4 linked regions of the Drosophila melanogaster genome follow. The protein of the gene in region 4 interacts with the protein of the main gene of each other region in a pairwise test. Each region holds a gene or a part of one and is shown on either strand. Other genes may lie near its edges.

Region 1 (5,296 bases), on a different chromosome or scaffold from region 4:
CACTTTTTTGTTGAAATCATTAACAAATAAGCGGTTCTGTATACATATTCAAGCAAATATAACAAAACAATCCGATTGAAACAGCCAAGAGATCGGTTATTTTTCTTTTATTTGTGCATAAATTATAAGCCAATTATGGGTGAATCACGATAGTTCGGAAAACGACTGGACTCGCAATCGGATCTTAGCTCGGACTCGGACTTCGATTCGGAATCTCATCTCAGTCGGCGGCACGATTGAAGCTGTCTTTTGCCCACAACAATGTGTTAAATGTGTTAAGAGCGAAATTATGTTAGCAGATTAACAGCATTCCGAAAACCCGATGGCCAATAGCCACTGGCCATTCGCGAGTCACGATTCGTGAGCGGAGATCGATGATCGCCGTGTTCCGCCAGAGGGACCCCAAAGTGACTAGACGGCTCAATTGACTAGATTTTCTAGTCTAATTTTAAACGTCGTCGCGTTGGCGGTATAAAAGGTAGATAATGAATGCTATATTATTCATTCGTCTAGAATATCTCGTAGGCATCGGGTCAATATGCGTGCCCTCATTATTCTAAGCATTGTGGCAGCGGCAAGTGCCGGTAGCTTGTCCGGATATAATTACGGACAAGGTGCGACAACCAGTATTGGGGGCAGTGGTGTATCCCCAGTCCCTGCACTGGCGGGACCAGTTAGCTATAGTGCCGCTCCCCAGGCGTCAGTTCACAAGGAGTTCTACAGCTTCTATGCCAACGATGACGACTTCGAGGATAAGGCTGCTCTCCAGAGGGCTCTTGCCTCGGTCAAGAAGAACATTCGCGTCATCTTCATCAAGTCGCCGGAGAACCGTGGCTACGAGAATGCCGTTTTGGCCCTGGCTAAACAGGCGGCCCAGCAGCAGACTGCCATATATGTGCTGCACAAACAGACTGATATCAACGAGCTGGCCCAGAAATTCAATGCCGTGCGCCAGAATGCCAACAAGAAGCCCGAGGTGCACTTCGTCAAGTACAGGACACCTGAGGATGCTGCCAATGCCCAGCGGGCAATCCAATCGCAGTACGATCAACTCGGCGGCTCCAGCCAGTCCATCAACGGTGGCGTGGCTAATGCCATCAACTTTGCATCCCAGGGAGCTGCTCCAGCACGCGTTACTCCTCAACAGGTGCCCCAGAGCAACTACCTACCCGCCAACATCCTGAGTCGCCTGCGTCACTAGAAAATCGATTGTTAAACGTTGTTTTCGAATAAAAGTTATCTAATTTGGTTATGTAAATTATTGTATTTTCATTTGGTTAATTCCTTTAAAAATTGACGAAAGCAACATAAGTATGCAACAGTTTTCAAAATAAATTGTATACCTATTTATAGCAGCGATAATCGAATAAAAACAGAAAGAAAGAAGAAAGAAGAAATAAAAATACTTGTTCAAAACCCAAGATCTCAGCAGCCATAAACTGGTATTAAATTTTGAATATGGTTAAAGTATAAACTAGTTCCTAAGAAATATATAAGTGCTTCTACTTATGTGCGCTTTCAAAGTTTGCAAGAAAATATTTCGCTGCAAATAAATCCGAACTTGCGAAGTTTCGTTCCCAATGAACTCAGCCTGCAAAGTTTTTTGGTTTTTACAAATGCACTACAACAAGTCAAATTGGTTTTAAAATTTAAGAATTGAATTTATTTAAGCATTAGTCAACAAAAACTACGATTTAATATCAGTCAAAAATCGCTGGCGTTTTCGATTCCGAAAGGAGTGAAACGAGCGACTTAGACGCGACGGAAGACCGAAGATGGCAGGTAGGAGTTGTCGGGGCTCTGGGCGGCGGCCTGACGCACTGGAGCGGCGGAAGCGAAGTTCAGGACGGGGGCAACACCACCGTTGTGGGCCTGGCTGGATCCTCCCAGCTGGTCGTACTGACCCTGGATGGCGCGCTGGGCGTTGGCAGCGTCCTCGGGAGTGCGGTACTTGACGAAGTGCACCTCGGGCTTGTTGTTGTTGTTGCTGCGGATGGCGTTCAGCTTGTTGGCCAGATCTCCAATATCGGCCTGCTTGTTCAGGACATAGATGGCGGTCTCCTGCTGGGCAGCCTGCTTGGCGAGGGCCAGGGCGGCGTTCTCCAGGCCACGGTTCTCGGGTCCCTTGATGAAGACAACGCGCAGGGCCTTGTTCAGGGCAGAGGACACACGCTCCAGCTGCTGGGGCTCATCGAAGTCCTGCTCGTTGGCGGTGAAGGTGAAGAACTCCTTCTCCAGCTCGGCGGTTGGGGCAGGGGCGTTGTAGGAGACGGGGGCACTGAGGGCGTCACCACCACCAATGCTTCCGATGCTGCCAATGCTTCCACCACCAATGCTGCTCAGACCACCCAGACCGGCACCGCTTCCGATGCTGGCTCCAATGGAACCACCACCAATGGATCCTCCGATGCTGCCGCCTCCGATGCTGCCGCCTCCGATGCTGCCGCCTCCGATGCTGCCTCCTCCGATGCTGCCTCCTCCGATGGAGCCACCTCCAATGCTGCCACTTCCAGGAGCAAAGGACAGTCCGGAGCTGGAGTGTCCCACGGGCTGGTAGTTGTAGCCGAGCTTATCGGCGCAGGCGACTGCCACCAAGCACATAACCTGGAGATAAAGAAAACAGCATTGTAATCCTTGGTATCCTTTTGGAGTATTTCGTCGGCGATCGAACGTATACTTACAATGAAGGCACGCATTTTGAATTTAGTTCTTTGACTTTGACCACTTGGTTGTGTCTGACGTTTGCATCACCGAAAGGTCCAATATTTATACGAAAACCAACGATCGGTGTCACTAAACTGCGCTCAAGTTCATGCAGACTTTACCATCGTTGTATTTGTTGGCTCCGCAGCATTTTTTGGTAACTTCTTCGGCAGCTTTTGTCTCTTGAAATGCTATCCACCTTCGAAAAACGAAGCTTGTGCGATAAAACAATGGCCAAGCCGACGTGAACAAAGCGCATCGATACCTGGCCGCCCTATTCTTGCAAATGTTGGCGTCGACATTATGCTAATTCCACGATCCCTCAGTCCAAGTCGTAGTACCATCATCGAAAATTTTTAGGCACACGACCCTACCCGTCAAGTTGTAATCCAATAGAGCAGGCTCTCGGCGGAGGAAACGGCTGAAAACTCGTTTAGCAAAAGCCACTACTATAAATGGTCATGCTTTCAGTAAATGAAATGATTTTCTTCATATTTTGTATGCTAAAACATTTAGCGGAGCATCCAAACGAGTTCGAAAACGACTCGGTTTTTCTACACTTTTTAGTTGATCCAGCCGCATATTTCTAGCTGGGAATCCCCAGCGATTATTGCGTCCCCCTTTGGTATTTGGAATATTGTATATGGTATATGGTATGGTATGGTGTATGGTGTATGGTGTATGGAACTGGCTGCTCTAGGGTTTGGCCATATAAAACCCGAACACTGGACTGTGGACTGTGGTAGGGTTGAAAAACAATGGATCTGAAATGGATAGAAATCAATTTTCGCCAGCCTTTTTGCGCATCCATTCATTCATCCGTCCATCTATCCGACGGCCCATCTGTCCATTTGTCCGGAGCTCGTCGCTTGGCCATTTAACCTGTGGCAAAAACACGGCTTCGCAAAATAGAAGCCATAAAGCTAACAACCGTTGCGACCTTGAGGTTTTTTACTGTTGACCAGCACCCGAAGCTATTCGGAATTCGGCGGTAATCAGCTGGCGCCAGGCGACCATTTAATCTGATCAGCGATTATCACGTTTTTCATCATGGTTTATTGATATCATAAAAATTATGGTTTTTTATTTTATTTCGGCAAAGTTTTCGAGCAGAAGGGGGGTAGAGGCAGCAGCAAATCCGCTGAAAACTGATTTGATTTGCATAATTTAGGAGAAATACCCAAGATCCATATTTAAGATAGCCGAACCGATTTGCAAATCAATAGTGGCGAATGCCAATCGCGGTTATGACTAATATATATATTGATTGATATCACGGATAACTATAGCGATGAGTAACTCGAAGATGGGGTCAGTTAGGAAATCCGCTAAGACATCACAACCATGATATCATTTTCAGTGACGGACACACACAAGTTCTATATGGTTCTATATCTAATGATGCTATATGATGCCCCCCATTCCACGCTGGCCGGGATCCAATTAAGATTCACATTCGAAGCAATAACCTAAAGTCAAAAACAATTTGTCTTGGCTTTGTGTGCGGCCCCACCTTTTGCCCACTGCCAACTGTTGCGGCTCGCCGATTGGCCAGCATCTCAGCCAAGTTAGTCGCTGGTGGCAATGTCATATGCAAACTAATCAAATGTAAGCATAATAAAACAACCCAGCCACAATTTCAAGGTCTCGGGCGCCACACGCACATAAAAGATGCACGCAGCAGCGACATAAAAAGTGGTCAAAACGCGGGAAAAGAGTTTCCAGCACGAAATCGAAGATAATAGCGGTCGGACGACGTTGGCGTATCAATAAATAAATAAAAAAAAAACGGCTCAAGCGGACAAAAAACATCTACGGGAGGGAATTTCTGGCACCACTTTATGTAAATGGCCTTTTGGGTCAATCGATCTATTTACAAAATCTGACACTGTTTATTATTTTATCCATTATTTTTAGTCTTTCTCTCTTCGAGACAACAAGACTGCCCCTATATTATTTTATTGCCATTGTACTGGCACCCACCAGAATGTCGAAACGAATAAAATTGTGCATTTAATTTATTCGGCTATCACCTGGCTGGTGTCAAAACCGGGCGGTGCCTTTCAGGTGCAAAAATCCAATCAAATCTGTCGCCTCACCATAAATTGGAGCATTAGTAATTTCCTTAAATCATAAGCTTTATTTACGAACGACAAATTTGCCAGTTAAACCCCAGTTAAACGAGTTTGTTTGCTTCTAGCCTTTCTTTTGCAAAAATGTTTGGAGCTGCCGGCTTTTCGAACTCTTTTACGAGCAGACCGTTTCTATTCTTCTCTAGATACGAGTTTTAGTTGCCAAAATTATTTCCGCATGCCTGGCGACAAATAAAAAACAAAAAATGTTACCCAAAAAGCTGACTGGCTTGCCGCAAAATCGTTTCTCTTTTGCAAAAGAAATATATGCAAATATATTAAATCTGATATGCAAATAGCCGATATCAATTATTTCAAGCGCAAAAACCCGAACCAAACCATGGAAACTAAACTAAAGCTTATGCTAAAAAAACGCAATATTTTAAAAAACCTATCCGAGAGTGCTGAAAGGAATAAATCAAATCAAATTTCGCCGAGCTGGCCAATTTGTTTGGCAAATT
Region 2 (9,033 bases), 7.1 Mb from region 4:
GGGGTGTGGCAGCTGGTGAACAAAGTGTGGCATACATTTAGGCGTCGCCGCATGCAAATGTTTGACGTTATACAATAATAAAGGCAAATCCCCGGTAAAAAAGAGGGACCCACACTAATATACACATACATATATATATTTTTTATATTCTTCGGCTTATTTCTGCGACGTTTTTATTTCCCCGCCGGCTTGTTCAGCTTTTTGCATATTTTTCTTGTTCGATTTTTATCGCCGACGACGACGACGAAAATGTTGCGCAAATATTTGCGCTTTTATGTGCATAGCAAAAACCTTAGCTCCTCATTTTTTATGTCTCTTTTTTCCATCCGACTTGGAACATTTCACCACCCCCCATTTCTTTTTGTGCATTCAGATTTTCGCTTTGCAGATGCTTGTTGTTGCTGCTTTTTATGATTTACTTGTGCTTTGTGTTTGTACTTTGGTTCGTATTTGTGTTTGTGTTGGTATTGAAATTGCTACACTGAAAACAAAAAGTCGGCTTTTAAATTTGCTTTTGTTTTATTTAAAATTCCGTAGGAACTACTGGTTTGCATGTGCATTAACCAAAATATATTATATATATAATAATACTTTATATTTTTAAATATCAAATTGCCATCAAATTTTAAAAAGGTTTTTTTTGGAAATTTTTCTAATGGTTATGTTTAAAATATGACACGATTTTAAAGTTTTATATTGCCTTTTTTTGCTTTTTTATAGTTGAAATACATTTCAACACAAATTTTTTGTCTGTGTACTGATGTGTATACAGTGTTGCAAAGGTAAATTGGATTGAGAAATTGAAATCGCATTCAGCGGCAAAGGGGGCAGGCGGGCGGATGGCGAGAAATAGGGGGCAAGAGCAAAGGAGATAGAGGAAAATCTTTTCCGTTTTATTTACCTTATTGATTTTCCCTTTTGAACAGGTCGCTCTCCATGTATTTGTGCACCTCCGGCCGAGATAATCGAGCTGAAGTTGCATTTCCCACTTTGCTGGCGAAAAGTTTAATGGATTTTTCCACCATTCAACACCGAAAGGTGTGCTTTAAAAACTTTCCTGCTGTCACTTATTTCCCATTTCGTTCGTACACCTGCCGCATTTGCCATTTGTTCGACTAACTTAGGCTTGACAATTCTCAAAACATTCATCAAAGTCCGGCGCTAAAACCATTTCCGTGTTCTCATTTCTCCCCCCGCAAACATTTTGTCAAACATGAAACATTCGCCTAGTGACGTCACAACTAATTAGAGTGGAAAAAGAGGAACTTTTCTTTGTCACCAAGTCAAGTTATTTGTTTCTGAATGCTTTGCCTAATTAGTGACTTCAACTTTGCTAATATTATGAACAAATCTATAATTATAAGAAATAAAGAAACTATCTTATGTTCAGTCTTACTCTACTTTTAAGTTTTATTGAGAACTATTAGCTCTTCTCCATATAGCCAAGTTTAAACTTTCATACCTTGAAAGTTTTAATAATAACTACAAATCCTTAATGCTTGACTTCAAAATGTTTATTCGGTAAATATGAATATGAAAACACTATATATCTACGACAAACATGTTTCAGTTATTTGGTCTTCAGTGTGTGTGTGTGTATGTGTTTGTGTTTGTATCTGTAATGCAAAATGACTTAAATAACAATAAGGTTTCTGTTCGCGATTGGTGCAAACGTGTTGGTAGTTAGCCTAACCCAAGCACCCAAATCCCAGATCCACGTGGATGCGGCCCCATGGATCTCAGTAATGGCGCTGCATCACCCTGTCCAGATCGTTCCAACTGCATGAGTAGTCGATCTGCAGTAGACCCTTCTTGCTCAGTCCGAATTTACGTGCGTAAATTCCCGAGTAGAGCGACGAGTCACCACCGCTGGAATGATGGGGCGATGAGCCCCTAACCCGACTGCCATCACCACCCACCAAGCCGCCCATGGTTCCGTAGAGGGCGGAGGGTGCGGCATAGATCTGCTGCTGGCATTCGCTGCAATCCGGTATGCTGCAGTACGGCAGTGAAGCATAGGGATTACAGTAGTCGTAGGCGGGCGAAAGTGGCGGCGGTGCGGGGAAATCGATCTGCGGCGGAGCGGCCATGGGCGCCGCCTTACCGCTTCGCTTGCGCCGCGGATGGGGGGCAGTTCCATAGCTGCCGACCATGTTGGTGCTCCGCTGCATCTCGCTGGGCACGGAGCGGCGTTGCATCGTGGCCGCGCGTCGTTGGAGAACGGGCTGCTCATCGCCAATGGAGGAGGGATGCTCCGTGGAACTGGTGCTGGAGAAGCCTGAAACGTGTGAGATTACACGGCATTAGTGAAAGCTATCAAAATCATTTGGTATTTTACAACAGCTACATTTATATTTAAGCACTCGATGGGTTTAAAATCAATAAAACATTTATACTTACATATAGTTTGAAAAGGATTAGTAATCAAAATATATAACAAATACTAAGTAATTAATGATCCCCAAGTACAGAAAATCAAATTTCATTAGTCAAGCTCAAAAATCAATGATTTTGCCAGAGATTTGCAATTAAACGTTAATCGAATTGCCATAAAAGACGCACTGCGTAAATTGTAACAATCAAATGGAATCGAAAATGAAATCTAAATGCATTTGTGTGATTTGCATACAAAGCTAACTAAATAAATTGGTTATTACGAAACAAAAGGAATTTTAAATTAAAATCTAGTTTTAAAGGGGTTTCGAATTTGCATTTGCTATTTGCGTTTTTCACTCACCTCCAAAGCCATTGTACAGTTGCCGCTGCTCCTCGCCGTAAAGATCTTCCGGCTCCTCATCCTCGCCGTTGTCCAGGTGCAACTGCCTGGTCATGGTGGCCATGTAGTCCTCATAGCGGCTGGGCACACCGTAAATATCGCTCCTGGCCGTATAGAGTGGCTCCTTGCGAGCGCTGCGGCTACGGCGACGAGTCCTTTGGGGCACACAGCACTCAAGTTGGCACTGGGCACGCGACACCCGGCGACTTTGGGTGTGGGGGCGTGGCATTGTGGCCGACATGCCCACACCCATACCCGCACCGGCGGCACCCACTCCGTATCCGTATGTGGGACTGGTCGTCAGCGAGTTGCCACCACCTCCGTAGGCAGGTTCAATTGCCTCACCATCACCATCACCACCACCGCCACCGGTGACATCATCGATCTTCTTGCGAACATAATCATAGTTCTCCAGATCCCAGGGATCCACATAGCAGCGCTGCGAGGGCAGCAGCGTGGTGCCATATATATCCTCCGTGTTGTCAATGGTATAATAGGGGGATTCCAGGGCGCCCACTCCCTCCGAGGAGCTGCCACCAGGTAAGGCCTGTTTTGGACCGGCTCGTCGCCTTCTTGGGGTCGTTTGACTGCGTTCACGCATGCTGTAAGAAAAAAAGGCAAAGAAAAAATACATAAATATTGGTTGGGAAAATGCGGAGATGGTGCGCGTGGTGTGGGAAAGCCATGAGCAAGTGCATCAACTGGTTGCTTACGCAACGCACTTTGTGGCCAATACTGAAAACTCTTCCGTCAACGAATCGAACCCGTTCTTCGGCGTTGGCCGCGAATTTTCCGCGGCATTAATGCCGGCTTAAAATTGCACACCGGCTTGGCTATATCTTTTGCAGGTGTTACACTTCACGACTTCAGATTGCAACCATTAGCCGGTTTATGGATCTGCATAACTTAGCATGGCCAATCAATTGGCATTCCAATTGCCAATAAGCCGAGATATTCCATTAGCCAACAGACTGGTTTACGTCAAAGGAAAACTAACAAAAAACCCATCCACCCGTTTCGGGCATCGAAAACAAATTGCTTTACTTATCAAATTTCATTAAAAAAACAAAAAACTATTTAATTAAAATCTGAAATGGAGCCCGTCGGCAACTGTATAAATTTATAAAAATATGCGATACAAAATCAAGTGGAATAAGTGCCATGCAAAAAATACACAAATTTCCATTTTGTCGAGAAGGTTAACTAGATTTTCGATCAGGCTTGTCAGTTGCAGTGCCATCGAAATGGAATTAAAATACACCGAGTTTTCCATTGTAAAACTAAATAAATGAAAAACGTTCAGTTTTTTTTTAACTGCATATTCATTTCAGAGTTTATTTAACATAAAAGACAATATCAACATGTAATAAGCGAAAAACGGTTCACATTTCTTTCATTCGATTAAATCTCTACCGAAATCTGAATGAAAAGCATGAATGGGCACAGAAAATATTAATATTAATGCATCTGTTTCCGCAAAGTTAAAAAAAATACCTTAAAAAATATTAAATTAAATTTTTAGGCAAATTTTTCGGCTGATATTTTACATAGGCTTTTGGTTTTCTCCGGGGTTTTCCCCTTAATTATTTCTACAATATAAAACGCCCATTTCAAAAAAGGGTTTTGCGCAATCTTTTCGAGGCATTTGTGATTTGTGCATTTGCATAAAAATGTTGAGTTGGTTTTGTTTTTGCCTGGTTTGTTTTAATCTCTTCGGTTATCGATTAACATTTGTATGGCCTGATCAAGAAAAAAGGTTTCCGATGGGAATATATTTTTTATAAAATACACAAACTGTACCGCGAAAAAAAAATAAAACAACGTGACTTGGCTGTGACACGCAAATGAAATCGTTTATCTGTGTATCTTTCAGGGTCTATAAACTTTTTATGGCATATATCCAAACAAAACAAAATATGCACACAGAAGCCCATCTGAATGCACTTTCAGTGATTTGCACGCGAGTGAAAATGGTTTAGGGCTTGTTTTTTAAGCTATTTATTATTTAAAGGAACTCCAAAATGTAGTCAATCCAAAACAAACAATGTAGGCATACAAATTCTGCACTCTATACTTGATATTCCAGTTATTATTCTAGATAACTGATGAATAAATTGATAAGAATAATAAATGTTCTTGGTGGGTGAAAATCGCATTACGTATGCGCCACGTGGCCCTTTACCGTGAAAAGTTAATTGCATGCGCAGTGTTTAGACGCAATTAGAGTTGAATATGCAAACACATTCGTGGATATGGAACCACTTAAAACCCCTAAGACCCTGTTAATTAATTGGCATCTTCGGACGGCACTTCCACTCCTTCACTGCGGTTGGCTGATTGCCCCGGTCAACCTCAGATACAGATTCAATTTCGGATTCAGATTCATTTCAGCGTAAAGTGCCGCTTTGACTTTGGCTTCTGGCCATTTGCATATCAAATGTGACAAGTTCGCGTCGAGTTACTTTGTGTAATCAGTCGGGCTTGTTAGCGTGTTTGGTGATTGATAGTGGTTTTGGCCACCTGAGTTAGGCTTAAAATAAAAGACAACTATCAATATTTGTGCAAATCCGGGCTATTAAATGCTATTAAGACGGATGACCGTAATGGGATATTTAAATAAAGATTAAATTTAAGTATACTAAAAATAAACTTATTTAAGATAAATGTAGGTTTGTAGGTAGCAACCACAAACACTCTTTATAAATATTAACTGGTAAGATATTCCACTATTTATATTTTACTACTCAAAATTTTGCCCACCTCCATAATATTATTCGATTGACTTTGGTTTTCTCCGAATATTTCAATTAAGGTAATAATTAACAACCTGTCCATGTCTCATTCAGCACAAATTATGCAAAGGTAAGGTAAATATTTCGACATCGGATTATAATGCAAAATAACTGGAAACACGTTTGCCAAATGCCAATCGACCTTGCTAAGTATTCAAATATATAAATATTTATTCGAGTGATATCATGCCCAATTGTGGATTTACATCAAACCAATCGAGAGCAGGGTAAAATGAATTTAAAAAGTCACATCTTCTGCCGCACCTTTGAAAAAAGTATGCGAGACGAGCAGAAGTTTTTATCATGAATCACCTGAGAAGAACAGTTCTCTCGCATACCTGGGCGTAGTGCCCTAAAATGGTGATCATTACATTACACCTGAGATGCATTCGAATTTATGTGGCACAGACCCACGCAGATGATCACTCAATCTCGACAAGCCCGCAAAAGATTGAAAACGAACATCAGACGGAGCTGAAGATACACCTAAAAAGATACTTGGCAGCCTGCCCACACTAAAAAAATAGCAACTTTCTTTGCTTTTGACACAGTTTTCTGGGCAGTTTCATTCACCTTGTTATTTATTTGGTTTTGGTGTTGGTTATAAATTTGAATTTGTTTTATGCCGTCGGTCACTTGTCACAGAGCACTTTTATGGTTATAGAACGCTCTTTTAGCCAATTTGTGAATTGTAAATTTCAAACACGTCCGATCGGCACATGATCTACGCGCATGCGCAACCGCGTTGTGTTCGCTTCTTCGACCGGCGCTCAACTGTTTTGGCCAACGGTTTGAGCCAAGTTACAAGTCTTTGGCGCTTCTCTGCCAGCATGTTCGAACGGGTTTGATCCTCGGTCTGAGCTCACCTCACATGTTCGCTTGCCAATTTCCATCAAAATTAATCAGAGATCCCATTCAGTCTTTATGTCTTTGGCTAGATGTAATTTCGGCCGGCCTGTAAATTAATTAGCAGTAAATTAAAATGACAGCAGGTGGTTATGTCACAGTCGCAGAGCTACTCAAAGTCACATTGATATGCAAATTTGAGAGTCGTTGAAATGCGGCTGCGCCAGGGAAATGCCATAGATATGTAAGCAAAACTGGGCTTCATTACACAACGAATTGAAGTTGCTCTAAAGAAATGTATCTAAAAACTCAGTTAAAAAGTAGAAATTGTAATTTGAACTGTCATCATTTAGGAAAAGAAGCTGATTCATACCCAACATATATTACACCCATTTTCGAAACTCATTCAACTTAACCGCATAGTGACCATAGCCGTTGCTAGAGTAAGTGGTTTAAAAAAAAAAGCAGCTGCCAAGTTCAAGTCTTTTTCACTTGCGGAAAGAAATTGAAATCGCTGCTGAGAGAAATTGCATCACTTCAACTTCAACTTCAACTTGAACCGACATTCGGGTGGGGCAATGTGCGCCGCCTTTGAATTCATCAAAAGAAAACAGGTGATGAGCATCATTTCTCATTCGAGACTTTTCCCATCTCCAGCAGCTAAAGCCCAAATAATTTATGCAGTTTTTTTTGTTAGCTACCAAAAGGTATTTATAAAATTAATTGTTTGAAAAAACCTTAAAAAAAGCTTTCACTTTCAGTGCGGTGGCGGTTGGTTTTTTGTGTGGTATCCCCAAAGTCGTGCCGATATTTATGGTGTTTATTCAGTCAGGTCAGTTATTATTTCCTATTGCGGTGAGTGTCGAGTGCAAACAATCAATTGATGGCCCATAGACCAAACCAAAAGCAATTCAATTAAGCCAGCTCAAGTGGGCCACACTTTGTGGTCAGATGTGTCACCAGATAAAAAAGCAGGCAATTAACAAATAATTGTTTGGGGAATTTTAAAGGATTTGCGAAATCTCAGCGACCGCAGATGTTATGCTTCTTAAATTATTTAAAAATATAAATTCCTATCATATGTTAGTATTTATATACATATATATCTTTAGAAATATATCTATAAATGTCTTGCAAGCTCATGCCATTCAGCTTTCGAATGTTATTTGGATTTCTGGTCACGAGAGCTTCGAAAATTGTTGCCTTCACCGGGCATCCATCCATCCATTGAGTTCATTTAGCCAGCCTGCAGTTCATCAGGCCTACATTCCTTGCCGTAGAATCCCAACCCCAATATAGGTACATATGCACTATTTGGACCCATTCAGAGGCTCTGGAGCCAGAGCAATTTGCCGCTTTTAATGGCGAACGTCGTTTTGGGACTTGGGCAGCACACGTTGCCAACGCACAGGAAACCGGCTGCACCTGGCCACCCAGCGGGGGGCGGTGGTGATGCATTTTCCGGTAATGGTAAGGGGGTGGTAAGGGAGCGGTGCCGCAACCAGATGTTTGCCTTTGACTGGCGGCAGACTCGTTGATCTCTGCTCCAATTCCAATACGTATGTGTGTGTGTTTGCTCGGCTCTTTCGGTCGGTATCTATCTATCAGATACTTCGCACCGGCGACATTGCAACATGCTCTTAGTGATGGCAAGGAAAAACTGCAAAGCTATTTCATATTGGCAACAATATTGCACAAGTAGTAACATCAATGATTGAGGAGTACATATATCTGATTTCAATCGATATTGTAGGCCTCATATCGAATTGTACTGCCATAGAGCTTGCCATCAAAAAAAGATATACTATGTATCCTAAAGATATGAAAACATCTTGCATGAGTAATGAAGAACTATTTACATGTAATATAGCTTAATTCTTTGAATTCCTTACACTTATAAGTGAGTGATACTATGCATCTTTCAACGTTTTATGATTTCTTCAGTTTCTTTTGGTTATTACGATTACCACAACCAATGTGAATTGGCAACAGCTGCAGCGAGCATTACAGATGCTGAGTCGCAGATTGCGCTGCACCCAAGCCCAATACCAGTCGCAGTACCAGTACCAATACCTCTATACCTATCTACCAATCCAAATCCGAATCTAAACCGAATCGAATCGAATGGCTATAGCCTATAGCACATGACTCTTTTTACCGCTGTGCTCTACGCTTGTCACTCGGCTTGCCACTTTCGATTTTTCATAGCTGGGGCAGCCTCTGTGGCAGCGGCCTTTTTTGTTTTTTTTTCTTTCTTTTTTTTTGCAACTCACCGACGACTCCCTCCATTGGGGCAATAATTGTAAGTGGACCTGGGCATTTATGGCGTTTTTGCTACTCTGGCCCCATTTGGCCACCGTGTTGGACATTTTGCACGTGTTCGGCCCACAAAAGGAAAGCGACCGAATGGCAGAGAAACACAGGGAAGAAATATGGCCGGTAATTGTGTGCTTCCCATTTGGTGTGTCAGCAAAACGCTTTTTTGTGGTTCCTTTTCCAAACTCGGTACAATTGGCAGTATGTAAGAAGCCCTTTCCCAACATCCATCTTTAAGTGAATTATTCAAACGTAAATTAATCATTTAAGCCGAAATATGAGAGCCCAAAAGAATTTCATAAA
Region 3 (9,261 bases), on a different chromosome or scaffold from region 4:
ACTTGTACTCGATCTGGAGAAGGCTCCGAATCCCATGGAGTTCACCAACTTGGTGGTCCGAACACCCAATAAGCAAAGAGTTACAACGCAGACATGGAGATTTGAGAATGGACGGCTGATGTGCCATGCCAATATGTGCGTACAGGTAAGGATTTCTTTATGTTTTATTGATAACCTTTAATCTAAAATGGTTTACTTTATAGTCTCGATTTGGAGAGAGCGGCCTGAAGCCCAACTATGAGGCAGTCGTGGGCAGAACGGAAAACAGGGCAAGTTCGAGTAAACAAATACCCATTGGACAACACATTGTTGCACAGAAACTAAGGCCTGGATCGGGACAGCTGGAGCTTTCGACGAAAATGGATGGACCCATATCCACGATCGAAATATGTGATATTAAAATTAAACAAAATTCAGTATTCCTAACTCCCGATTTACTATGGATGCATGCTTCCCTGAATAATAGGCAAATTACGGATAAGGGAAAAGTATCATTCGTGCATGAGTATTTGGTAAGTAAGACTATGAAAAAATCTAACGTATAACAAACTAAGAGTTATATCATTTTAGATTAATGTGGAGCTTGTTAAAGGAATCGGCATATCCATCATAGCTCGCAAGCCTTGTGAGGAAATCATGTTCATCAGCCTCGATCACATAAATTGTGATATTGTACAGAGTGCTTTGGAGAATTCCTTAGATCTGAATATTGCCTATATACAAATCGATAATCAATTGCTGGATGCTGTGAGTCCGATTGCATTGCACACGCAAACTTCGAATGATCTTGAAGAAACACAAAATGCAGTTGTTCTCAAACTGAAAATGTTACCTTCGCCCAACAAGAATGCAATCATTTTCAAGTACTTAACTCTGGACTTGAAACCCTCAACGGCGAGTCTGGAGGAGAAGCTGATACTTAAAGTGGCTTCATTCCTGGGCTACGGCAAGATCAACCGTCAGAACTTAAGTGTGCAATACCAATTCGAGAACACGGATGATAAGCCTTTTCTGCAGGATATGAAGAGATACTATTTTGAGAACTTAAGTATTGGCGCAACTCAGGTAATTTTTTAAAATCTAGACTTAATGGTCTTAAACAACTCAATTTTCTCTTTAAAGGTTCGACTTTCAGCATTCACTTCTTCAAAGTTGCCGGTGGAGTTGCATGAAACCAAGAAGGCACTTGGACTCACTCTAATAAAATTCGAAGATGCCTTGATTGAACTCGACAGGTATTCGGATAAATTGCACTTTGAGACGATGGACGTTTATCGGAAGGAGCTGAAGAAGCACTACATCAACCAAGTCAAATGGCATGCGGCTGCAATTTTGGGCAGCGTCGATTTCCTTGGTAATCCATTGGGATTTGCCAACGATCTTTCGGAAGGAGTATCCGGACTGATTTTTGAGGGCTCCGTCAAGAGTTTGGTGAAAAATGTTACGCATGGCATATCGAATTCGACGGCGAAGCTAACAGAAACGCTGTCCGATAGCCTGGGAAAAGTTGTGCTGGATGATCACGACAATGAGACGAGGCAACGCATTCTGGAACTGCAGTCCAATACATCCGGCGGTCACCTTGCAGCGGGTCTGAAGGGTCTCGGATTTGGACTGCTGGGCGGAGTAACGAGTATTGTAAGACACACTTACGATGGTGCCACTTCCGATGGCGTTCCTGGCTTTCTCAGTGGATTGGGAAAGGGCTTAGTAGGCACTGTCACCAAACCGATCATTGGTGTATTGGACCTGGCATCGGAAACTGCCAGTGCCGTTCGTGAAACAAGCCGAGATAGTCACAGAAACGCTCCGGAAAGGAAAAGGCTACCCAGATGTGTGACTGGTGCTCCTGGTGGTCTTTTGCCATTGTATTCCAATCGCCAAAGCAAGGGGCAGCAATATCTGTACCTAATCAATCAAAAGAACTTTTCGGAGAAGATAATTTCATATGAACCCAATCTATGGAGCGACAAGGAGGCTAGATTGCGCTTGCTGGTTTCTACAGAATACGTACGAATCTTTTCACTAAGCGACGCCAATCCAACCATTATGTTTGAATGTCATGTTAGTGAGATTCTTTCGTGCCATCCAGTGGTAACGAATGCCGGCACAACGCCAACCACGAGCAGCAGGGCGTCGGCCAGTCACTACATCGAGATATCAACCAATCTTCCAAAGATTACCAGGCCCAGGATACGGTGTCGTTCCGAGGAATGTGCTGAGGCAGCATCAAGATGCGTAAGTAGAAATCATCTTAGCAGAAATTAGTAGAAATTATCTTTCAATAATAAACTATTATTGTTGAAGCGCAGACTTTGTTTATCATATAATTTATTTACTTTTACAAATTTTGAAATGATTATCACATATATTCCATACTTGTCTTTTTCTTTTAGATAAACTACGCTAAAAGTGTCTTTGATGAACGTGAACATGCCGTTTTATAAAATGCAATAGGTCGGTTCGTGATAATAAACAAAAACCTTTTGACAACAAATGTTACATTTTATTTTCTTTGGCAATAAGTGCTATTTTAATTTCAAGTAGTAAGTAAAATAAACATTTAAGAAATAATGAACCCACATACTATGGTGTGATATAAATCAAGGATCAAAAAGCGATCGACACGGAATACTATAAACAGATATTACGGATTCATTGTAGGATAAAATGACCGCAGTGTAAATATTGTGTAGATATATTATTTGTCATGACGGGCATTAATACAAAAAAGAATGTTTGTAAAGTTAGTAACATTAATAAATATGGTATTTAATAATCGGCATTCTTGTAATGCTCCTTACGAAACGATGAGAGTTTTAGTCGTTGCATTTGGAGAGCTTGTTCGATTTCGAGTACTTTAACATGAATTTCCATTTCCATCGTTTTAATCTGTGATGGCGTTAGCTTAGAAAGTTCTATTTCACTCTGCTGCTCCAGCTGGGAGTTGCAATCCTTCACGGTGGCGACCAGAGTTCCTGTTGCCTGCGTTACGCTTCGCGAGGCTTTTGTGAGGTCGGTTAGCTTTTGACTATTACGTTCAGCCTTGACTTTGCTCGCAATAACCATTTGGGTCGTGCAGGCAGCAATTTCTTGGGCAGCCACAATGAGTTCAAAGTTCTTGCCAGATTCACTTTCAATAGCCTTGTTTGCAGCTTCCACCAGATAGTTGGCTGCCTTCGCCACACTTTTCGAGGCGGATATCAAACCATCTGACCACTGACTGTTCCGCCTATAAAACTCATTAGCACTCGCATTTCCTGAAAGAGTAATTACTTGTCAGTAACTTCATTGAATTAAAAAATATTGTTAGCTACCTTTTTGGGAAGCCACGATTTCGTGTTGCAGGAGACGAGATTTTTGGATTAGAGCTTTGACACATTCCATCAAGGTGGTACACGCATCCACTATTTTTCCGTTTACCTCTAAATTGGTTTGGTTGTCCTTCTCTCGAGCCTTTGCCAGTAGATCTGTAATTTTGGAGGCTGCATCATCAATCGCAGCGTCCATCTCGCGAAGCTCGATTTCGAGCAGCTTATCTAAATCAATCTTCTGTTCAAATGATGCCTTTATTTTCTCAATCAGCTTTTCAATATCTCTCAGCTTTGTTTGTATATCAGTGATTGTTTTCTGTCTCTCGGGTTCTTTTGTTTCATTATTTAATAAGTATTGGAACAATTGACAGATATCGGTACATAACAAATTTGTTTTTGAGAAAATTTCTGCAAAATAAGTAATACAAAGTTAGTTTGCTGTAGGTGGTTATGTTTTTAGTGTTATCAACTTACCCTGACCTGTCTCAATTGCAGTTGTTGTTTTGTAGATAACATCACATTGATCGTATAGTTTTATAAATACATAACCCAGATACATAACATTTTGCAGTCCTTCGGTTGAAGCAACATAGTTTATAGCCGATGCGTTATTGAACTTATTTAAAATGGTCTCCATTTCGCGTATTATGTTTGGCACCGCATCCAAAGGCTGTTGTTCCGATCCGCTCAACTTCGAATTGCATATTTCCTTTACAGTCTTGATCACCAATTTTCTGAGTTCACTCAAATCGGTACTACAGATTTGGTACGAACTTGTCACGGCATCAATTTGCTGTGTTGCTTGGGTTAGTTTTACCTCAGTAAGCGAGAGTTTGCTTTGCAAATCCTCGTTACGCTGACCCGCTGAAGCATTTTCCTGCCTCAATTGATTCACAATTTCCTGGGTTTGCTGAAGAAAGAAAAGCAGTTTCTATAATTTTCTTGATTTAAATTGGTTTCATTTACCTGTAATGCACTCTCATTTTGCTCCAAGTTGTTTAAAGTTAGCTGCAATTGAGCATTTTGTGCTTCGCTGTTGTTTTTATGCTCTATACCTAACTGCTCTATTTTAGTTAATAGCACTGATTTTTCCGCTTCAAATGCCTTTAAATTGTTTTGAATTTCCAATGCCTTTAAGCTGATTTGGCTTTCTGCGCTGGACAGCTGAAGCTTAACTTCATTGAACTCTTTATCCTTTTGTTCCAAGTTATCCATTATTTCTTGCAATTGAGCGTTTTGAGCTTCACTATGGCTTTTACTTTCAACACTCTGTTGTTCAATCTGAGTTAAGAGCAATGCCTTTTCCGCTTCAAAAGCTTTTAGCATTTTCTCGATATCCTCGGTCTTTGCATTTATTTGGCTTTCGGCGTTCGACAGTTTTTCCAGGGTGTCATTGAGGTTTCCATTAAGCTCTTCGACTTTGAGGCAATTTAGCCTCAGGTTTTCGGAAGTGGAAATAATATCGAGTTCCTGAATTTCCTTTTGTTTAACCACATCATCGAATTTCTCCTTCATCTCGTTTTTGACTGCTTCAAGATGTGCTATTTTCTCCTTGTGCTCTTCGATTTGCTTTTGCAGAATCAAGTTTGTTTTCTCTTTTTCCTCTACGTTTACTTTAATTTTGGAAATTTCATTGGTAAGCTCCTTAGTTTCCAACAATAGTTGTGAGTTTACTTGTTTCTCTTTATTTAAGGACTTGTTGCAATCACTTTGCTGATATAAAAGTATATGAATGAATATTAGTATAGGAAATAGAAAATATTGTGTTTCTGCATACCTCTCTCAGCAGCTGAATGTGCTCATCTCGAATCTTTGTGTATAGAGTTTTAAGTTTATTAAACTTTTCCGACGACAACTTGTGCTTTTCTTCTTCCTCCATAGCTTTTTCTGAAATACAAGGTATTTTTATATGACTTCATTATGTTTAATAAGCATTTAATTACGTAAAAGAATTGGGTTCTGATTCAGTTGCATCTCAAGATCGTCATTTTGCATCCGAAAGGTGGCACACATTTCTCTCGCCAAGACCAGATCATTTGACAGCACAGTATTGTTCTGTTGCAACTCCTGAACGTCGTGTCTGTAGCTTTGCTGCAGTGCGTCGAAATTTTTTTGCATTGCGTCCAATTTGAATGACAGCTCCTCAATGCTAGCCTCTTTCTCGCTGATTATACCCTCCAACATGCTAAGCTGCTGCTGGGCTTGACTGAAGGCTTCCAGCTCGTGATTGTTGGTATCCACAAGGTCTTCAACAACCGGATCGGGCTCCTGGGGAACGTGAACCACTGGCGGTACATAACTGGTGAAATCGTTTTGGGACTTGAAGTTAGGACTTGAGTCCGGCAATTCCGGGATTGTTATTAGGTCCTTGAAATACTGAAGCGGTCGCACGTTGTTGTAAAAACTCTTCAACTTTAAAAACAGACCGTGAAAGCGATCTCTGTGTCCGGAAACAACGTCGTATGGTACACCATCGTGTAGTTTAAACATTAACCGAACGCTTAAATCGTACAACGCATTGGAATCCTGGATAAGGCAAACTATTGGCGCTAATCTACATTGTCCCTGCGGTGTCATCGACGACATTCTGTACTTTTCCATAGATGAAAATATCGTCAATTGCAGCGCAATTATATCCTCCAAGTAGTCGAAAATTTCCACGCACAGTTGAAAACTGGAATCAATGGTTCTGTCTCAGTAGTTTGAAAGTAATATATATCTATTTTTACTTACCAATAATTTAAATCCCTATCCACAGCAATGAAGAGTTCCGTGAACGAAATGTTCAGGGTGCCGGGAAACATTCGATTTTTGTCGTGGAAGTTTAATTTTGTGGCCAAGAGCTTACTATACGCCTGTATGCAGCATCCAATATCGTCCTGCAGCAGGCCCCACATTTTTCCCACCTCCAGTATCATCTTCTTGTGGCTCTGCGAGTGGCGGATGGCACTTTCATGACCCTCTCGCAGGACCTTGTGCAGCAGATGCGAAAACTTCCAGGCAGTAAATCTACTCTGCATCAAAGGCTGCCGGGAGATGATCATCCAGAATGTTTTGGCCTCTTTGGCCTTGTGTATCATAATAATAATGGAGCGGGCATGTTTGGTTTTGAGTGGCGCTTCCAGGCCATTTAAAGCTTTGGACACGCTGACGTTCTGAAATGAAATGTAAATATTATAGTTTAAATGGCTTTTTATTGTTGTACACTTTCGAAGAAGTGACTGACTCAGCTTATAAGATATGGACGGATTTTGGCGGACGATATCTATAGTTTTATACTTTTTAGTGGAATTCGATCTAAAGGGGGTGACTCACTGATCGACTATTTAGTTTGGAAGTGCAAACATTTCGATGCTTTTAAAAATAAGATTCCAAACACCTACACCATGTGTTTGATATGAATTTATGATAACAGAAGGTAATCTAAATACTGGATTTCACTTCTTATCGTGCCGAATTTGGGTTGATAATCAAAAAATTTGAAAGGCCTTTGTGTGCACATTGAACAATTGATCAAAGTGGATGTAGTCCGCATAGCATTCATTGCAGTTTCTAATTTTCTGGGTCATCCGAAGCGGAGAAACTTGGGATTAGCATGTAGTGTAGTCTCTGTGGTGTTGCAAGTCGTGTGAAAAGCTGATGATATTTCGAGCTGTTCCATATAATCTGGTTCAAGGCTGACTTCTTAAGTGAAATGTTTATGCATATTTGAGCGGCGCGCCTGTAGTTGTGTGCATAAACATTTAGGTATTTACACTATGCACATGATATGACAACATCCGTGTGCCTATAATCTGCTGTGGGTATTCTTGGCGGTTTTCTTGGCTTTCCTTTGGGCTTACGTACCAGGTGGTAGAACTCCTTTTCGGCGTGAGTTGCCATTGTTTACTGACAATTCTTGGCGTACTTGCTGAACAAATTCGAATCATTCGCAGCGCGATATATGTGCATTAGAGCAAAGACAGCAAAGACATTGGAAACGGGAGTTATCTTATCTTATCAACAATGTTGGCCATTGTTTTCGTATTGGTCGCGTTCGTATTCATTCGGATTCCGATCGTGTGCGTGTATGAAACAATGAGTGTAAGAGTAAATTAGTCATATAAACAAATGTTGTTTTCCTTTATCGATAAAAGTTAATAGAGCTGGGCGGTGTTCCGATATGCGGGCTTTACCCTATCGATTCGTTTCGATAGTCATCAACTTCTTGCATCACCATTTTGAGCGCGAAAAAAAATGTTTTGCAAATTTTTATTTTTTTCCATTAAATCGAAGGATATTTGAATTGAAATACACTTAAATGAACCAATATTTAAATTATAACATCGAACGCTTTCAATAAAACTTCAGTTAAGTTAAAAATTTAATTTAATTTGATTTTATACGATGGTTTAAAAAAAAGCTTTAGAATGTGTTTTTGAAATTTTTGTGTACTGATTTTCTAAAAAGATAGATTTTGTTCGATATTTATAGATCTGCTACCATATTTTTACTTTAAATAAAAGAACGACAATTTTAATTTGTTTTTAAAGTAATTTTAATTTAATGTATTCTTCCAACTGTTTGGATTAAATTTGGTATTCCGATTGATCATAGTAATCCAAATGTACATTTTGCTGTGGCCAAAACATCTCGGCTGGGTATTGGTTTTGTGGTGGAATGTAACGTCGATTGGGATCTGGAACGGATGTCATCATCAGTTGCGGATGATGATATTGATTGCTATAAGGACAAGCGTGGTGTCTGAAAGTAGGATGCTGTTCTCCGTGAACAAAATTTGGCTGCAGTGAAAATTCCGGTGGCTGGAAGTTGGAATCCATGCGTGTTATATTATACTTATTCACGGTGCGTTCATAGAATCCATCTGGAAGCATTCGAATGTTCTCTTTTAGTTGAGGATTGTAGTCAGGGTTTCTGGCCTGAGAGGAACTTGGGTCTGAAGTATGTACAGATTCCTGAAAATGATGATAGGATCCATGATCCGGCTGACATTGTTCCTTCATTTGAAATTGATGCTGCACGGCTGGTGCTGAAGCTGGTGACTTAGTGGGCATCCACTGATCCCGCGGATCTATAAGGTACCCTTCATCGAAAGGAGTGACATTTTGTGGAGCACTCACAGAGATCTGCGGTTGTAGCATATGATCCGGTGGCTTCGTAAATCCTTGATGGAGACTCGGAGGAAGACCCGTGTATTGATAAGGACACGAGTTACAGGGCGGTCGTCCACAGGTCTGGAGTAGAATTTCCCTGTTACAGGGAGTTCTTGTCTCTATAAGAACGGTGTTCCCATTGATATTTGCCTGGTTTCTGATCCCAGCACTTTCACAACTACGAAGTTTTCGAGGTTGCATTAGGGTTACCGTTTCCAGTGTTTCCACGTCAGTCGATGTATTGGGAGCTAGTAATTGGGAGTTCGGAGGTGGATCTGTCCAAGTTAAGTCAGTAGAATACCCAGAAGCTCCAACCATAGCTGAATTATGCGACCCGTCCTCGTTTTGATGACTATCGCGATGGCTTTGGTCACTATTATTTCTATCACAAGCTAGGTATTCATCTTGTCTGTGCTGGTCAGGATATTGGCTGCTGGCCGAAATGAATCTTCCGCCTTGCGAATTGTTTGAATCATTTCTTTGAATACGTCTAAGTACTGGGTAAGATGTTTGGGATGGGGCTTTTCGTCTATTTTCTGAGGATGGTGGATTGTTACTCAAAGAATCAGAAACGCCTGGATGATTCTGCAGATTCCTATTTCTCCTTTCAATAGATTGCTCTGCTGTATTCGTTCTAGTAGATGGCGAAGAAGCTAGAACAAATACACCGTTCATTTGGCCAACAGAAGAATTGCAGTTTCGATTCTTCGTCCTTTTTGTTTTCTGGGTTTGTAGTCGAACGTGTCTTGTAGTCGCTGGTGCCATTTGAAATTGATTGGTATTGAGTCTGGTGA
Region 4 (8,062 bases):
AATCGGTTAAAATGCAATTATCGTCGGCAGTTGCAGTGTTGCAATGCGATGGCTCTTTCATTTCGACGGAAATCGAATTGATTTGCTGCATGACCACAGAAGAAGACAGGTGAAACGAATCCATGCGACGATTTATGGCCAGGAATTAAGCCTCATTGAATTTGTATTAATGTGAACGTAATACCGGTGGAGCGAGACTCGCATAATTGAAGAGCCCATTAAATGGTAAAATATAAAAATTGATGTCTTGCCTATCCAGCCCATTCCAACTTTTGTCGGAAATTGAATTTGATAAACTTTCTAAAGGCAAAAGGCGGAAGAAGAGAGGAGTTTCTAGGCAGCAATTAGTCCTTTTTGAGAGGATGTCGATGGGTGGTGAGGAGTGGGGTGGGGGTGGCTTGGGCTTGAGTTTGGGGTTTTGGGTGGAAAACTCGGTCAGATGAGATGCTACGTGCCATGCGTCAGCTGGAAAAATGGGAACCAAAAAGTTTGTTTATGCTTAGACTTTTTGGCCGGGTTCTCAAATTCGGGACCATATAGCACCGGAGCTCTGGCTTCGACTGCTGCTGTCATTCAAGTGTTTTAATCAATTCTGATTTAATTTTACGCCCAATTAAGTGTGAAAAGCGTTTGATGTTGAGCACGGGTGCGAGAGGCAAATGGCACCGTATACGCCCCCCGTTCCCATCCAACGGATTTTTCCGACCAAGTCACGCAAGCGTGAGCATTGAATATGCCATATGTGTGTGTGTGGGTCTCGCCCTTTATGGCTCCCTAGCTGCTGAGCCACATAACCTCGGATTCAGGATTCAGCCGGGTTCGGGTTGCTGGGTTCGGTTAGCGACTTTATTTAATACGCAGCACTAGAGTAAACGCATTTTTAGATGTTTGTATCCGCCTGAGCTGGAGACACTCACCATCACCGCCGCTTGAGTATCCTTGCCTTGTGGCTTCCGCACCTGCCCATGCTCACCGCCTCGCTTACGCTCACCCGCCATTTCTCTCTGTGTACCCGCTAACCATGGAACCACTTTCTTCCTATGACAGAGTCAGCCGTGGCATATAGTTCCGCCCCAGCATTATCCACTAATCTCTATCAACAGCCACTGCCAACGGGCCGCTCCTCCGGCTCCAACTCCAGGTTAAGTCTGTTGGAGAGCTTGGTCTGCATGACTGCCGATCCCATATCGTTGTGCTTTTGGATTTGTTTGCAGGTAAACATGAAGACCTCTCATCTTTTATAATATTTGTATATGAAAACCTTTTTTGGCAAACATTCAATTACTTTTAAACGTGCAATTCATTCCTTTAAATATTTACATAGCTCGCAAACTCTTTAAGCCCGAAAAGATTTCAAGTCCTGATGGCCCTTCAGGTGCCACAACTCCTCCAACAGGGTTGTAATGTGAATTGTAGTCGTTAAGCAATTTTCTTGTACTTTTACAATGCCAGAGGAAAGGTATGAGGTCATATATGGTTGCCAGGAGCCGCTGAAAATTGTATCTCGATCCAGATTTAACCCATGAGAATTAACAAAATTATACGAATCTATTACAGTAGCGCAGATAGAATTTACTTTATTCAGGACTTTCATGTATTACTTTTTGACATCGATTTTTGTGCACATAAATTTCGATATACATGAGGATTAAATTTAGAGTTTTGAAGATTGTTGTTGTAAGGCTACACAGGTATAATTGCAAGGCGTTTCACTTTTTTTTTTTTAAGGAATGGTGTTTAAAAGTGTGCACGTGTTTTAACTTTGTTTTCAAAGACGACTGCCTTTTTCAGATAAGCGTTTGTTTCGTAAGCTAATTAATTGTATTCCATTTCAGTCACAATTTCTCACTTTGGCCTGTCGTGTGTGTGTGTGTGTGTGTGTGCTTGTGCATGTGTGCGTGTATCTGTATTCCACGAGTGTGGTAGTGGTACTATTCCGTCTACACTTGGAAATTTAAGCACTAAGTCCACTCATTTTACATTTTACGCAACGTTTGCGCTGTAGAGTGTGTGTGTGTTGTGTGAGGATGAACATGGTTGGATTGTAGTAACTTAACTAATCTTAACTGGTAACTTAGAACTAACTGAATTGTCACTGGTGTTACGTTGGCCAAAGCAGCCGTCGTTTGTTAGCTAATTTTTTATCATGCAGAGGCTAATTTTGATATCAGCGATTTTATCAATTTTTGCTTATTTTTTTTTTTTTGTGGAAATTTTGCAACTTTCGATTTTCAATCTTGCTGAATTTGTTGCATTTCAAGTACGTGTCGAACGTTTAAAAAATCGTTGGAAACTTAATTTTGCTATACTGTGAGGGCCGAAAAGAAGCGAAACGCGAACCAAGTTCATTCTTTTTATAACACCAAACGCTGGCCCTGATCGAAATAGCATTGTCTTGGCCAGCGTTTCAGGCAACAGGTGGATTTTCCAGAGCCTATTCCACCTGAATTGCCTGTACTAAATAACGGTATGCGTATAAAAACAAGGATATCGAGGGCTAGAGAGATTGTAAGTGTGATTATCTAAAACTAATTCCCTAGTGTTTGCGTTGCGCCTACGTCGAGCAATCGAAAAGCAATCCTTCAAGGATCAGGATCGCCAGTTTTCGTTGCTCGCGCATTTTTTCGAGCTGTTTCATCTTAAATGCAGTTATACATTTATAATTTTTTTTGTTTAGAAGACCAGGTTTTCTTAAATGATCTGATCCCTCTCCACGCCGAGGCCCCAGTTTTCCAATGTTGTTTTGTTTGGATTTTTTGATTTTTTTTTTTGGGGGGGTCACTATATCGACGCTTGAGTCGGTTTGCGTGTGTGTGTTTTCTGTGATGTGTGTGTGGTGGTGGTATAATGGGGTGATTTTCGATTGCCCACGCTGGGTGGCTATAGGTGGCATTTGGATGGCCACCCAACGCGATGCACATCCCATGGTGCGAGCGGTACTTAGTAGACAATGAGCAGGTTGTTTTCATTGAATCCAGCCGAGTGACCAGCATTGCGTACAATGAAACAGGATCCGTCGAAGTGCATGCGCTTCTCATTACGACTGCAAAAAAAAAAAGAACAAAAGGAATCTTCAAATATCCGATTAACTGAATTACTGCAAAAGTATGGAATCAATTAAACACTATCAGTGTTATAATCGAATAAATATACGACGAGAACAATGCATTCTTCGAGTGCATCATTATTGCAAATAGGTGTGGATGCAGTGGCCAACTCACCGGACGAACAGGTGCGAGGTCTTGCCCAACGAAGCCGTGCAGTGGATGCCGGTGGTGGTCAGGGTGGCGGATCCATTGCCCGGACTGGTGCGAATCAGGCACTTGCTGTGCTGGCGGCTGACCTTGACCAGGCCGTCGGCCGCCTGGGTGATGCGGAATCCATTGATGTCATACACCTCGGTGCCGTCCTCGGCGCAATTGTAGGTGGAGTTGGCGATTACGTCGTGGGCATCGGACACAAAGGATGGGCCGTGGCGCGAATCGCTGGAGGGTGTTGTTAATTGGAAAGAGGAGCTTGGCGAATTGATTTGGGCAAATTTCGTGCTTAACTCACTCATAGAACACCGCCAAGGTGTAGTCCTTGGTCAGGTCGGTGAAGGTATCGGTGGTGGTGCGAGTGCCAGCTGTGTCCACCAGATAGATGAGGGCACAGGACTCGCTGGTGAAGCTAACGCCCTTGTACCACATTTTGGCATAGCGACTGGAAGAAAATGATTGCAGCTATAGTTGCATAGATTTTATACGAAAATCTAATGAGAAGTACAAGTTTAAATTCCAAAATACTAGTTGTTTGCCACTCTTAAAGTAAAGGTTCGATTCTACTTCTAAGCTTACACAAAGTTGTTGGCCTTCATTCCGTCGTAGGTGACGATCTCCACCTTGGAGCCGCTCTGCAAGATGCGCCCATTGGGATGGATGAGGGCAGAGTTGCTGCAGTTGCGCGATAAGGCGGCGGCAACCATGCTGCGCTGATTCAGCACACGGACAGCCTTGTCCAGGGTCATGTCAATGCTGGAATCGGGAATGATTTGGAATGATGATCAAGGGATAAATCTCCTACCACGTTCACTTACCGAACGCCCTCGCGCAGGCGCAACTGGATGGTGCCATTGGACATGGCAATCGGTCCAGATCCTGGACACGGTGGTGGTGTGTTGTTCTCGAACTCAAAAGTGCGCGAGCTGACGCGATCCATAGCAAAAGGTGGTGGTGGCATTGGCGATGGGAACTGCTGGGTGTGATGTGCCTGTGGCTAGGTAGATATCGCATATTTCTAAAATACGAAACACGGGGCAATAAATCAAAGCACTTACCATGCAGTAGGCTCCATCCACCTCATAGCCATAGCCAGAGTTGAAGCGTCCCGTTAGACTCTTGCCGCTGCGCGTAATATTGCCGGCATCCATGTTCCAGCCCATGGTCTCGTAGCCGGCACCAGATTGCGGCAGGACTCCGAAGCCCGAGTGGGAAGATGCGTGCATGCCCATATTCATGTAGCTGCGGCCGCAGCTGTTTGTCTGGCTGGAGCACTCCTTGGCCAGGACGGAGGTGCTGGTGCCCACGCTGGCGCTGTTGCCCATGCTGCTGCTGCTGTTGCCGCGCTCCAAGCCGCGCTTCACTCCGCCAGTCAGCGAAAGGCTGCTCATACGTGGAGCCAATGGGCTGTTCATCGATGACACAAAGCGCATGGTGGCTTGCTAGGGATTGGTAAGGGAAAAGGTATCACATGGTACATCAAAGATCACTTGCAAAAAATGGGAAGAAAAGATGACTTGCAAAAAATGCTAAGAAAATATGACTTGCAAAAATGACTTGCAAAAATCAAAGAGACGATTTTTTGCATATGCCTTCAAAATGAAGGCAATCCTATGGAGAAGTGACAACTCTACTCACCGGCGATGGGTTGTTGTTGGTGAATACGGAACGCTGGCGCACACCATTTGGAGCCTTGGTGGGCGAGCGCAAGATGTTATTGATCTTGTCGTTCAACTGGGCGCGGGACAAGAAGTCCTCGGCATTGAAGATGCCAACGCGGCCGCTCTTGGGCGTGGCCAAGGGGGCGGGGCCCGGTAGAGCCAGCTCCTCGACATGGGGCTCATCCAGGGCGCCGGAGTGCTGGCACTGCACCTCCTTGGTGCTGCTGGTCTTAGGTGCAACGGTGTCCTGGGCGTCGGTAACCATTTTGTCAAGATTCGATTGTTCAAAATTTATGGGAAAACCGTATGGAATCGAATGGGTGATGGATGATGGTGTTGTTGTTCTTGGTTGAAACGGGGCCTGGACTTTGGTATGTGGATCTAAACGAGAACGGCACACGCGGCGTGCTGGACAGCGAAAATCAAAGTACTCTGCTCGACACGGAACACAACGACTCAATGAGAGGAATTTAATTTTTTACTTTTTATGACTTTTCAAGAGCACTGCTCGCTGCGACAATTTTCGAAAGAATGACTTGCCTCAAGTGCCGATGGAAGGATGTGCCATCAATTCTGACACTCACTGGCCTACCGGGTTTTTCGATAGTTGAAAGTGTCGTAATATCGAGTACACGATACTTTACTTTTCCCTTCGTCCCTTTGAAGCCCTGGCACTTTTAGATTTCCCGTGAAAGTTCAACGTATATCCGATTAGTGCTGCATACTTTTAGACGGCAAAAAGCTGATTGAATTCAAAATAACGCATTTAAGGACGACACTGTAGTGCAACCCATCTCCTCGCTTTTAGTGGCCGGAAAACGAAGTTTCGCCTTCGTAATTGAATCGAGAAATAGACTTGAACACACGCACAGCAGTGCAGCTTCCAGCAATTTATTGCCGCTCATTTGTATAGTTTCTACGCAGCTATAAGCTGCAGCAAAAGACTTAGGCTTTAAGATTTATTGGGAAACTGCATTTTCCGAACGGGAGAAAGTGCAAGAGAAAGTGCCGTCATTCTTATCGATGCTGGTTAAATGCTGAACAAGTGCGCAGAGTTGCAAAGTTTTGAAGCGTTGGCAGGAAATGTCAAGAGTCAGATAAAAGTGATGTTTGCACGTAGCACAGTTTAGTACTTTGCTAATAAAAAGCTATCCCCTTCTAAATTGTTGCTTTAACGTGGCTTAAATATGTTGTCAAAGTCAAACAATCACGCAATTTAAATGTATTATACATTCAACTGAAACTTTTAAATTGACATATTAAATAAGAACTGGCATTTAAAGTTTCTGCGAAATGTAAACTGCTCTTATAGAACTTTCCAGTCGAACAGCTACAAATTTTTGGATTATTTCTTAATGAATAAACACTAAAATCATAATATATTTTAGTAATAGCTGCTCAATCGTTTTTCTTGTCAGTTATTAGCCATTTTATTTGCCTGAATGTTGACATATTAGCCACAATTTTGGCAAACCCCCAAGGTCGTTTTATTTCCATTTTTGTGGGTTCACTAACTCACCTTCAGTGTGCAAAGTCCCTGAACTTCCGGAACTATTGTGTTTTTTGTATACGACTGTCAACTCTTTCCGCTCTCATGATTGATTTTGCCTCTTGATTTCAGTTTTTTCTTGCGCGGATTAGTTTGTTTAATGAGCGCATTGACTCCTTGCATTTGGCCATCGGCCCACGCAGATTTAGATTGACACTTTCGCCATCATATCTATTTAAATGGACGCGTTTATTTAGACACTTGGCTGGCATATTTTTTAAATTTTATTTTTGGCACTTGGTCGGATCATTAAAATTCAGCCACTGCAGCTGCAATTCCGCCCACGCATCGCATTGACTCAGTTTTGAGCAACACCAACTGAAAGTGAAAATGTGTAATATATTTATAGCAGGAATGCAATCGCATATGCATTCAATGAAATACGGAAACTCATTTGTAAAAATCACCCCGTCCACCGAAGTGATTTTTCCGTTGTCACTTTCGCCAGCCGCAAGTGAAACAAATTGGTTAACCTCCTTTTTCAGTATTTATCGTTAAAAATATTCGCAAATATTCAGACAGCTGAAAATTCAGATTTTCAGCGAGCGTCGTTGGAATAGTTTGCTAAATTTTGAATTCAAGTTGTAATTACGCTCGTTTTGTAAAGGCAAAGGCACATTTGATATGAAAACTAAAAGGAGAACATCAGCCAAATGAATAGAGAAAATTCGCTATTACTTGCCGAAGCTCGTTAAAATGTGGAAAACTATTTTCGCCTTCTGCAGTCAGTGAACTTTGGCGCAGACAAAGATCATAAAATCCATACTAGTGTAGCGGCTATATATAGAAAGTGCATAGGACTCCGACTTGGCCAGTGTTGCAATCTTTGACGTCACCGTTCGCGTGAGTGGCAGTGCCAGTGGTAGTGGTGACCACTCAGATTGATGAGAAACTTATGGCATAATTGAAATGGCTTTTAAAATCCATTTGTTCAGCGCCTTCTTCCTTATTAAATCCTTAGCAATTTTCATTAAAAACAATTAGCGCCAACGACGCCACTTGCCTTTGTCGACAATACCAGCCCCTTCAGTTTCTACTGGGGGGCAGGAGGTGCTCGGGAATTGAATGGACTGGGTTGGAATCGGTTGGGATGGGACGGGATGGAAATTAATTGATTGTCAAGATGAGGCAACGGCAACCGAGCTGTGTAAACAAATAAATGTGTCTGGTCATTCAGCGGGAGATCTTTGTTGTCGCCTCTAGATGATAATGCCGCCCCGCTGTCAGCTATGGAATTACACTCACCCACTATATATATATATATATATATATATATATATATATATACAGATATTCCGAATCCGATGCACATACATTTACGGATCTCAACCGACAGGCACGCGACGCTAAAAGCCTCTCGGCTTGACTTCCATCAATATTTTGGCATTCCCGGCATTATTCTGGCCGCGTCGAATTCCTTGGTGACTTTTCTGTTTACACAATCCCCTTAAGTCCCGTGCCCCCACCTCGGCCCCCTGCAAGGTGATTCACAGGGATTTCCTGGAGACGAAGAAGCCACCACCTACGCGTGCCCAAAAAAACAAAAAAATAAAAAATTATATGAAAACAGATTGAAAGGTTGGTCAATTGGTGGT

What was found.
Region 1: the proteins of fest (region 4) and TwdlM interact in a two-hybrid assay, tested with the Drosophila melanogaster proteins (one large-scale study listed by BioGRID).
Region 2: the proteins of fest (region 4) and CG8854 interact in a two-hybrid assay, tested with the Drosophila melanogaster proteins (one large-scale study listed by BioGRID).
Region 3: the proteins of fest (region 4) and Hip1 interact in a two-hybrid assay, tested with the Drosophila melanogaster proteins (one large-scale study listed by BioGRID).

The regions. Positions count from the first base shown.
Region 1 is NT_033777.3:26,616,567-26,621,862, reverse strand, and holds TwdlM (TweedleM), read right to left. Parts: upstream 2,746-5,296; 5' UTR 2,697-2,745; coding exon 2,682-2,696; intron 2,605-2,681; coding exon 1,753-2,604; 3' UTR 1,639-1,752; downstream 1-1,638. Other genes in the region: TwdlP (TweedleP), read left to right, coding at 539-1,201.
Region 2 is NT_033778.4:12,222,967-12,231,999, forward strand, and holds CG8854 (uncharacterized protein), read right to left. Parts: upstream 6,345-9,033; 5' UTR 6,142-6,344; intron 3,881-6,141; exon of another isoform or gene 3,379-3,880; 5' UTR 3,378-3,378; coding exon 2,738-3,377; intron 2,279-2,737; coding exon 1,740-2,278; 3' UTR 1,495-1,739; downstream 1-1,494.
Region 3 is NT_037436.4:12,766,115-12,775,375, forward strand, and holds Hip1 (huntingtin interacting protein 1), read right to left. Parts: upstream 7,460-9,261; 5' UTR 7,197-7,459; coding exon 7,161-7,196; intron 7,106-7,160; exon of another isoform or gene 6,630-7,105; intron 6,470-6,629; coding exon 6,048-6,469; intron 5,989-6,047; coding exon 5,258-5,988; intron 5,202-5,257; coding exon 5,092-5,201; intron 5,028-5,091; coding exon 4,281-5,027; intron 4,225-4,280; coding exon 3,789-4,224; intron 3,723-3,788; coding exon 3,318-3,722; intron 3,261-3,317; coding exon 2,773-3,260; 3' UTR 2,448-2,772; coding exon of another isoform or gene 2,397-2,447; 3' UTR 2,318-2,396; downstream 1-2,317. Other genes in the region: Vps13D (vacuolar protein sorting 13D), read left to right, coding at 1-145, 204-512, 571-1,065, 1,123-2,238, 2,397-2,447; CG32106 (uncharacterized protein), read right to left, coding at 7,883-9,261.
Region 4 is NT_033778.4:19,339,205-19,347,266, reverse strand, and holds fest (wurstfest), read right to left. Parts: upstream 5,459-8,062; 5' UTR 5,184-5,458; coding exon 4,896-5,183; intron 4,700-4,895; coding exon 4,316-4,699; intron 4,255-4,315; coding exon 4,076-4,254; intron 4,014-4,075; coding exon 3,837-4,013; intron 3,703-3,836; coding exon 3,556-3,702; intron 3,486-3,555; coding exon 3,222-3,485; intron 3,044-3,221; coding exon 2,941-3,043; 3' UTR 1,513-2,940; downstream 1-1,512. Other genes in the region: Rgk1 (Rad, Gem/Kir family member 1), read left to right, coding at 1,170-1,214.